Linked DNA regions of Drosophila melanogaster. The protein of the gene in region 1 purifies or fractionates together with the protein of each later gene. This does not show direct contact. Each region holds a gene or a part of one and is shown in the gene's direction. Other genes may lie near its edges. The genes, in order: CG12024 and CG3529.

Region 1 (4,424 bases):
TTGTGGGGTTTGGGTCTCTGGTTGCACGAGTACTTGAAAAGTTTTTGTAATTTTATTTCTGCGCTTCTAATTTTGGGCACAATCTCGGATTTAGGCACTCGGATTCCTACTAAACGCGTTCTGCTCTGGCGGCGAACTAACTCATCGAATCCCACCAGCACCGACTCAAGTCGGTTGGAGCCTTCGGCCGCGATCTTCGTGCGCTTGTCGTGCCACGCTTTTGACAAATCGACCGATAAAGCCAAGATTTATGATCGGTGGGCCATATAGTTGGCGCTGCTGACTGCGCTACAGCACTGGGGATGGGTCATTTGGGTGCGCTGTGTCAGCAAATTAAGTCACTTGAATTATGTACCACTTCGATCTCTGAACCGTAAGTATTTTACTATCATCTAGGGCGTACTCCCTCGCCCGGTTCGTTAACTCAGGGCTTTGGGACTTCAAGGTGATTTGAGCAAGGTTTTTATAGTCTGTGCACTGGGATGATAGTGCCAGGGTGAGATTCGGAAAATGTTCCCACATGAACCAGTACTTCAACTGTAGGTCATTAAACTCGTCATGACTTAGCTGGAATATTTTAAATGTTAATTGGGTCAATGTCGACTTGCAGTTTTTCAACAGCGGAAGCTGAGATCGCAAAAGGCATTTCCAAACTCATGGAATTCAAATGAAATCATCACATGATTTGAGTTCCTTACACATTTTGGGTACATGTAAATATGACCCATTGTGCAGGGTGAACCTGTCACAAATGTAAATAAAATATTTTTAATGAGACATTAAGATTAATTGGGCACTTGTAAATAGAACCAACCCATTGTGGGATGTGCCTTTCACAAATCTAAATAAAAATGTTTAATCTATCATACAAGGGGGTTAAAAATAAAGTTTATACGAAAATAGCATGGAAATTTACACATGTCCATCGCATAGATAACTACACCGATCTCTTATCTCTTATGCGTACCTAATCATTCGCGTATCTCGGCAAATCTTCATTATAAAAATCCAAAAAAATATGACGCAACACCTTGCCCGGATTAAGTCACACAGAAACCCAAATTAATTGGGGGTGCCGTCGCATAAAAATCTTTAATTAAAATTTTCGACGTATTTTAAAGATTGTGTTTTGCTTATATAGAATCTCCCCCGAGTCATTTCCCAAATATAATGCGTCTTAAAAGCAAAGTCCCAGTAGACAGCAATTAATTCCGTCTAGTCTATAATTGGATGATCCGAACTCTCGAAACCTCTTGTCTGATCCGAAAATATCGGAAGGTAGCCCACGCTTCTTCCGCAGACTTTGTGATTAAATTGAAATTTATGGTTTCATCACCTCTATTCCGAACCCAAATCCGGCGGGGGTGTCTCGCTCATCACTTGTCCGACTGATTCTGATAAGCGGGCTCTTTGGACACCGCCCAGAGCTGATAGCAAATTAAGTGGCAGCCATATCAGTGCTAATTGACACTTATTAAAACGCGACCGACTGAACCGACACTGCTTGCCGGAACAAAGGCACCAGCACGTGCCGCCAATTATCAGCCACTCGAGTTGAGGATATCACGTGACAGCCGATGTGGCTGCTTCACTGAGTCATCTGTCGGATAACTTTCTCAAACTTCCATAAACAATGCACTAAATTGAACTTTATTGATACGGTCGCATAAAACCAGTTTGAATTGCCGCCAAAGCCGGACTTAACCGCTTTGCAACACTGCCAGTGTTAGATGTTGTGGTTGTAGAGTACCTCAGAAATAAGCTTTCCTCACTTCTTTGAACATGTGTAATCGCTGAATTGTAATATCCTCGCATGTATCCAAATTCATGATAGAGTATTGCTTGATGTTGCTAAAACACTTCAATATTTAAGTTATTTGTTAGTAATAATATTCTTGTTCAGCAATCTGGATTATTGTAAGGGCCAAGTAATTCTTATCAACTTATCTGTCACCAGTAGGAACCCCCTGTTTGTTGGCAGAATTAAAGAACATTCGCTCTGGTCACACTGCTCCGTCAATTGGACTGTGGGGGCGAAAATAAAAATAAGAATAATCATGTCAACGCTGCAGCTGGAATTTTCGCAGGCAATGACCGACTTTAAGAAGATGTTCCCGGACATCGACCGCGAGGTGATCGAGGCCATCCTGCGGGCGAACCTGGGGGCCGTGGACCAGACCATCGACGCCCTGCTGGCCATGTCGATTGACAACCAGGTGAGTGGAGGCGCCTGTGTATACTAACGTCTATGCTGTACTAACCCACTAACGAACGCAGAACGAGAAACTGCGCAATGAACTGGATGCTAATGTCTCGCCCCAGCAGAGCCTCATCAACCTGAACGACTCGGACAGGGACCTGCAGCTGGTGGACACCACGGACGGCGGAGGAGCGGGTGCAGTCGGTGCACCTGGAGCACCCAGTGCGCTGTTACCGACGGCCGGTGCATCGCCGAACCATCAGAACACGGGCGCTTCGCCCAAGCAGCGCCCGCTGGGAGCGGCCAACAGCAAGGGAAGCAGCCAGAACAACACGCCCACCAAACGCAGCAGGCGTTGGAATCCGCCCATCCTGGGTCCACTGCCTGCGGGCTTTCTGCGCATAACGCCCGCTCCCGGGCAGCAGGACTTCGAACTGCCGGACGAACAGTTCGCCCTGATGCTGCAGAACGAGGAGTTCATGAATCAGCTGCGCTGGAATCAGGACTTCATGAACGCCCTCGAGAAGGAGCAGAGCGGCAAGGCTAAGGGCGAGGACGACGCACCCTTCCAGGAGCGGCTCAAGAACATGGGCAAGATGTCGCGCAAGAAGTTCCTGCAGATGGCCCGAGTCTTCACCTGGCAGCGCAACAAGAAGGTGACCACGGCCAAGCAGATAGACTCCTTGCCGCTGCGCGAAGAGCCCAGCGACGACGAGGATCACCACCACCAGCAGCGTGATCAGCAGCAAGCGAGCCAGTCCAGCCAGCAGCAGGGTCAACTGCAGCTGCGCAAGTGAAGCGGATCGTTTTGTTATCTAATCTCAACGGCCATAACGTGACGATCACGTGCGCTAGTAATCTCCCCAGTTCCCCAGTCCAAAGTAATCTCCGGGCAAGAACGAAATCTGAAATCTCCTATCCCAATCTCGACACAAAGATGCGATGGTATTACCCTAGTTTTAACCTTAAGTGCAATTTTTACCCTACCGTGCAATACCCCCATATACCCATACATATATTCCTTGTTTGTATACGTTTTGTTTACCCTTTCGTTGTTGCCAAATTAGCGTAGTTAAGTTTTATGCATAATTTGTAATCGATACTAAGGCGGCCTCTTTTAAGCCGCGATTGCTAGAGATTGCTAGAAAGCCACACTCACTCACACGTTCGACTGATTATAAAAAGCGTTAATTAACAAGCATCACACCAGGAATCGGAGGCGAGTCCCCCAGTATAGCACTTTGCTTAGCCCAAAACCTAGTCATGAAGCGGAACTCGAGCCACTTATTGTACAGTAATAGAAACTACCACGTAACTCTGTCTTAAAATTCACTTTCTACATTTTAACTGCTGGCGAGCGATTCGCCGGCTTCTACGAAAAGCATGCATTATGATTGTATATCTCAACCCGCGAATCTCTCGGAACTTGCATACCATATCAGCTGTGGATACAATGCGGTTTTACTACTCCTACGCCCCAACTTAACTCCGAATCGATCCTATCGCAGATCTTACGCTGGATTAACATGCGTGCTATAAACTAGCAGAATATTATAATTATAAAGACGAGCTATTTGATTGTAATTGTATATGTATAAATATTTGAATAACAACCTTATATAACTATTCCAAGTATCAAATACAGATATTTCAAAACTTCAATGCAATCGTCTTGTCTTTAACTTCTGAATGAACTATGCTAAGAATAAGGCATACGCTCCACAAATGAATTTATTTAATTTTTATTTTGTTTTTGCATTTCCTTTTTAATTTTTTATAAACATAATACATTTATTAATAATTAAAAGATGCTCGATCATGTCGACCTACTGCGTCGCGAATTCGGGACTGCCAGGATTCTGAGATCAGAGGCTCTGTGTGGGGTCCCAAAAACGCGACCAGTAGGGAAACAAGTTCGAAAAAATGGTTTTTCAATTACATTTTTCACACGCTCATTATTACATTATGTTATTGTAACGGTTGGTTTGTTTGTTGTTTATTATGTTCAAAAATGATTTGTATCTTTATCATATATTTAATATATACGCTTGGGCTTAGGTTTTATTTAGTTTACTTTTAATGTTGGTTGTTGGCTGTGTTTAGACTTTGATTTAAGGGCATATTGGTTACTACTCGTACGCGAAGTTTATGCAATGTTTATTATGAAATATTTGTAAATTACTTCGTTTTTAGGTTTCTTTTCATTTTGGGATTGACACGACAG
Region 2 (6,356 bases), 7.6 Mb from region 1:
GTTTAATTATATTTTATAAAAAAATTGCGTTTAATTAAGCAAAAAACCCTTTATTTTTAGCTTTAAAGTCAAAAATTCAACTTATTTCACAGTGTGTAAACAGTTTCTTGACAAACTGTATGTGTCGCAAAGAATTCCGGGGAAAAACACGTTTCTTCTCAGTTTATACCCTACGTGCGAGGCATATGATTTGTCCTATCAGCCTGTTGGAACCGCTAACTCATATATTCCTTAATCTAACCAAAAACAAATTTTGCGTCGTATTTGTGAATAATGCACCGATTGATTTGATTGATTGCTTTAAGAGCGGCAGAGAGCAAAGATTACAGATAATAGGATAATGACTATTATAGTCAGAACACAATATTCTGTAAGAATCATGCAACTTATAGTTAGATCTAAATGGGCTTAAGATTATGGGTCTTGGAACAGAGAAGTTTAGCCGACTAACCAAGTCGGGACTATCAAAATATAAGTCTCAAAGCCTCACTCACTAATATACCCTACGTTCTCTTCTTTCAGAGGACGAATCCTATGAACTGTCCTCGGAAATCTGGGCCGTCGACATGGAGATCACTGACAGCGAGACCGACGACGTGCCCGTCAGCAGGAGCGTTAGCGTCAGCGCGAACGTCAGCGGGAACGTCAGCGGGAACGTCAGCGGGAAAGTCAGCGGGAACGCTAGAGGAGCCTTCAGCGGGACCCTCAGCCAGACCGTCAGCGCTACCGTCAGCGGGACCGTCAGCGCGACCGTCATTGGATTGGTCATCAACGAGTTCGTTCCAATGCCATTCAGTGGGACTCTCAGCGGGATCCTCAGCGGAACCCTCAGCGGGACCGTCGAAGGGACCATCAGCCGGACCGTCGACGGGGCCGTCAGCACGACCGGCAGCGGAACCATCGAAGGGACCGTCAGCGGAACCGTCAAGGGGACCGTCCGTGGGGCTATCAACGGGACCATCAGCGGAACCATCAGTGGGACCGCCAGCGGTACCGTCAGAAGGACCGCTGACGGAAAGCTCATTTTTGAGACAGGTGCAAGGTTGAACAATCGAAAATTCATTATCCACGAAATCTGTGGAATGAATTGTGAAATAACTCTTTGAAATTACAAAGTTTTTGAGATACATAACACGCTCTGTGAACAACCATGACTATGAGGTACCCGTTACTCAGCTAGTCGGATTGCGAATAAAATGAGAAAAAATTAAAATTGTTTAAAGATGTGGGTGTGATTACAATCCAAAAGGTGCAAGGTGCAAGGTGAACAATAAAACTAAGAACAATCTAATGTGGGCGTTGGAGTGGTCATGGAAACATGGGTCAACAATCTTGGGCTGCGTCTATGTCTCTGGAATCTGCACGCTTAATCTAAACATTCTAGCTTAAATAGTTCCTGAGATCTCGACGTTCAAACGTACAGACAGGCGGACATCGCCAGATCGACTCGGCTACTGATCCTGATCAAGAATATATATACTTTATATGGTCTGCCTGTTACATACTTTTCAACGAATCTAATAAACCCTTTTACTCTACGAGTAACGGGTATAACTATGTCATTATCTCAAAAACTGTGGATAATTCTTTTAAATAAAATGAAATAAAATGCTGCAGCCCTGGAAAAAAACCTATTCCTATTTACCCACTTATTGTAATGCATTTCTTTGTGGGTATTTTTCGCTGAGGCCAGCCATGGTCACTCTGCTGTAGACAAGTGCATAAACATTTCATCCAGGTGAACAAAAAGTAAATAAAGAACAATTTTAACCGCACTGCAACCCAACGGCGAGCATTAATAAGAAACTTCTCCACGATGGCTTCATTTTTCAACGTTGGCGCCTTGGGAAATGTTTTCTCCACTCCAGTTGGCCAGCGCATAGGTGAGTAAACCACCCTCCCCCCTCCAGCGTAAAAAAAACACCCACCGGAAGCGGGGGTGTGTGTATATGTGGTTAAAGCGTAATATTTTCCACAAATACAACGCATATGCGTTGATATTTACGCATTTACATTGATAGTTATCTGATTAGAGGACGCTTCAAGGCAGTCCCAATCAGACTGGGCCATTGGAAAATTGAATTTTCACAACTTTCTTCGTGCGTTTGCTTGTTTTCTTGTTTTGTTGTTGGTCTCTCACACACACGCGCACATTTCCATGTAGCGATACTCATTTGTTGTTGCCAGACCATTACTATGGCAAAGCGGTCTGATTTGATTTGAAAGGCGGTGGCAACAACGGTGGGCCTCTGATAAGATTAACCCTTATATGAGTATGCGGTTCCAACAGGCAGGTGTGACAAATCAGATAAATGTTTGTTGGTATGCTTTATGAAATTGCTCACCTTTTGGCACGCACACAAAGAGTATTGTTATTGATGCGCTCTTTTATTGTTTGATTGCCTGTTTTCCCTTCACCCCCTCCTGGCGGCCACCTGTTTTGCGCCCTTAGTAATCGCAATTAGTCATCGTTGCCGCTGGCCGCTGGGTTACATAAAAAAATGTGTTAATTTATTTCGTGTTCCCCTTTGGCTCGCATTTTCGCCATAATTTCCATTTGCCGCTGCACACACAACAAACACAGATACACACATTTACGTGCAATCGTGCATATGTATTAGTGCCGTACTAATTTGTTGCTTCGCTTTTTTTATGAGCTCACATTTTGTTATTGTATTGCGGTTGGTTAGCTTTTCCCATATCTCCTATATCTGTTGGATATCAGTGTTACGATATCTGATATCTGAGAAATACACTTTGCGCAATGGTTTCGTTTTGGATTTAAACAAATTGCTTTGTGCATTTTTAATTCGAGCAAGTCATTGCACTTGGTAGATCCTAAATTATAAACGAAAGATAATGCTCGCCCACCTGTTAAAAAACACAGTTTCAGCCGCCCATAAAAACAAACAAAGGAATGCAAATTGTTTACTTGGGTTTTCACACAGAAAACGAAAAAAATAATTACATCTTTCGGATCAAAAACCGCACAATTTACTTGGAATTATAATTAAATATATTATTATAATTAAAATGTAACGAGCGTTTTCAGAAATAAGATACAAATTTAAAAAAAAAAAATAGGGATACCTTTTTTGTTTTTGTATTTATATTACATGAAATATTGTTGCAGTTTTTTTTTCTGGAAGAACGATAGATTTAAAAAGATCTTAAGGTGTCAACTAATACTTACCTTCTCACCTTTCAGAGGCCGCCACCGATGCCAACCTGGCCTCGGAGAACTGGGCCGCCAACATGGAGATCTGCGACATGATCAACGAATCCTCCGACACTGCACGCGATGCTATGCGTGCCATTCGCAAACGCCTCTCCCAGAACGCCGGCAAAAACAACCAGGTGGTGATGTACACGCTGACCGTCCTGGAGACATGCGTGAAGAACTGCGGCAAGGCCTTCCATGTCCTGGTGGCCCAGAAGGACTTCATCAACGAGCTGGTCAAGCTGATTGGGCCCAAGAACGATCCACCAGCCGCCATGCAGGAGAAGGTTCTCAGTCTGATACAAATCTGGGCGGATGCGTTTAAGAACCAACCGGATCTCAACGGCGTCACCCAGATGTACATGGAATTGAAAAACAAGGGCATCGAGTTTCCAGCCAACGATCTGGATGCCATGGCACCCATTTACACGCCACAGAGGGTGAGTCGCTGAGGAATCCTCTTTACTTTAACCATAATAAATGCTTTCATATGCCTTTTAGAGTGTTCCCGAGATGCCCCCTCAGCTGGTGGCCGCTCAGCAGCACACAATCTCGCCTCAACACATGGCTGCCGCTGCTGCCGCCGCAGCTGCAGCCGCAGCTCCACCCAGCACAGGTCCTTTGCATTTGACTCCCGAGCAAGCGGCTAAGCTGCGCTCCGAACTGGAGATCGTTAGCAACAATATGTCCATCCTCAGCGAGATGCTCAGTGTTCTGAAGCCCGGCCAGGAGTCGCCCGATGACTATGCCCTGCTCAATGAGCTCACCTCGACCTGCAAGGAGATGCAGTCTCGCATCGTGGATCTGATTGGACGTGTCCAGGACGACGAGCTCACCGCGGAGTTCCTGCGCATCAATGACGAGCTGAACAATGTGTTCTTGCGCCACCAGCGTTACGAGAAAAATCGTTCGCAGGGCCAGGGTGCTGGTGTTACCTCGCCCTCGGCTGTGCTGGGCGCAGCCATGGGCCTGCCCGGTGTGGGAGCAGCTGGAGCAGGAGCCACCACGGTGGCTACGCTACCACCTCCGCCCACAACTACCGCCGTGAGCAATACGCCGCAAAGTGACCAACTGCTGATCGATCTAATCGAAAGCAGCGAGGAAGCCCAACTGCCACAGAGTTTGGGACAGATCAGCCTGGGTGGTGGAGCACCCATTGGGGTGCAGAGGAGCGCACGACCTGCCGATGAATTCGATATGCTGGCACAGTCGCGCACCGATGGCAACCAGTCAGTAAAGAGTGCTTTCCAATCGAGCTCATCAAGTATTAACAATAATTCTTTTTTTAGTAAATCGGACTTGCTGCGGGACATTCCCTCGGTGGACGCTGCTGCTGGGAGTGTGACTGCCACCGCCTCGCCTTACAAACCAAATCAACCGCAGCAGGCACAGCGCTCAGCCGGCGAACCGCCGGTGGTAAGTAAAGTGAGTAACTAGCCGCCGGACAGCCGGTCTAACTAATGGCGTTCGATTTGTTCCCTTACCTTTTGACCTCGTTTTCGCCATTGATTTACACTATGTGTCTAAATTTGAAAATATGTTTTGGTTCTTTTTTGTTCTATGCAAATTGCGTTTGGTTTTCGTTTCGTTTTGTTGTTCGGTTGGCGCCCACACACAGTCGACGAAAGAGAATGAGATCGACGAGATGGAGGCGTGGTTGGGCAGCTCAGTAAGTAGCCATTCGAATAGCATTTTGTCTTTTTCTAAGCTCATCTTACCATGCACTCGGCTTCAGTTTCTCGATTTACATACTATTCCTTTGCTTCTTAGCTTCTGTCATCCATTTTCGAGTACTTAATATGACTAATGAGTCATTTGTTTCCACCACACAGCACATCGAGGGAATTGAGGAGCTGACCAGCTCGGAGTTTGACAAATTCCTAGAGGAGAGAGCCGCTGCCGCCGAGAATCTTCCAACGATCAGTGCATCGAACTCCGCCGCCAGTGCCACGACAGGATCGGCAGGAGCCGATAGCTTACGAAAGACACCAAAGAAACCGGGCGCCGAAGAGGATCTGCTCGCGCTCTGAGTGATCTCCGCCAGCACCATCATCGGCTCTAATTGTTTACTCTTTCAAATGTTATACACACCCTAACATACTTATCCGTAACGTCTATTTGATAGCAGATACATAGTAACACTTTATGTAAAATGCTTTTATTTTTTACAAAAACAGCAACGATAACTATTGATTATATTCCAAAAAAACAAGCGATCTTTTGTTGGTCTAATTGTAAGCCACGTCTACACATTGATGGTAATTTAATGTATTACGTTACAAGTCTATTTGTTGTTTATTTATACATACATTATAAAGCTAATTTATTTTACAAAATCGAAAAGAAAAACTAAAACAAAATGGAAATACATTTCAAGCACATACCGATTTCGTCTTTGTTTAAATATTTATATTACTAAGGGGCTTAATCTGAGTCGTTATCTATATTCATGACTTGAGTAGCTGCTCCGTAGGCATCGTCCTCGTCATCAGAAAAAATCCTTTGATTATTCTTTGCTCTTGATACTTTCCCGGATCGTTTTTCCAACTGACTCTCTAAATCCCGGATGTGGGCCTTTTTGCTGTTCAAAAGCAGCAGGAATTTCTTGAGAAGTTCCTCCTCCTTCAGCTTGCTGTCCCTCACATACTTTTCATATTCAGCCAGGGATGCGGTTGTCTGGGCGTCGGATTCGGTGGCTGGAGCTGCTTGTGGCTTCTGCTGACCAGCTTCGATGGCTGCATCCAGCATCTGGTAGCAGTTGGAGACTTTTCTAAGCGGAACATCCAAGTACAGCGTTTCGTATCCTTCGCATTTGTACACTTTGAACGCTGGTTTTTCGACATCTTCCATGGATATTTCATAATCAAATCCTTGGAGTCCCATGTGCGTAGTTACGGCACTTTTGCACTCCGCAAAGAAAGCATCGTAGGCCTGTTCCAATTCACTGGCTCCACTTCGAAACTCATCGTATTTTACAATTGACCGGTAGTTTTGATTGTCAGAAGTGGTCAGGATGTCAAACTCCACGTCGTCGTCCATCCATTTGCTTCGGACATAAATAAACGGCTTTACGTCTATTTGACTATGTGAGAGCTGAGAGCGTTGAAGTAATTTAACCACAAAGGTGGACATGTTC

What was found.
Region 2: the proteins of CG12024 (region 1) and CG3529 purify together in Drosophila melanogaster (affinity purification with mass spectrometry, with the first as the bait; one large-scale study listed by BioGRID). This does not show direct contact.

What each region holds. Positions count from the first base shown.
Region 1 is NT_037436.4:1,855,188-1,859,611, forward strand, and holds CG12024 (uncharacterized protein), read left to right. Parts: upstream 1-1,977; 5' UTR 1,978-2,057; coding exon 2,058-2,216; intron 2,217-2,277; coding exon 2,278-2,997; 3' UTR 2,998-3,860; downstream 3,861-4,424.
Region 2 is NT_037436.4:9,445,180-9,451,535, forward strand, and holds CG3529 (uncharacterized protein), read left to right. Parts: upstream 1-1,684; 5' UTR 1,685-1,816; coding exon 1,817-1,883; intron 1,884-3,208; coding exon 3,209-3,660; intron 3,661-3,721; coding exon 3,722-4,449; intron 4,450-4,509; coding exon 4,510-4,645; intron 4,646-4,838; coding exon 4,839-4,889; intron 4,890-5,052; coding exon 5,053-5,250; 3' UTR 5,251-5,606; downstream 5,607-6,356. Other genes in the region: Srg3 (Sting-regulated gene 3), read left to right, coding at 523-1,106; CG3448 (uncharacterized protein), read right to left, coding at 5,645-6,352.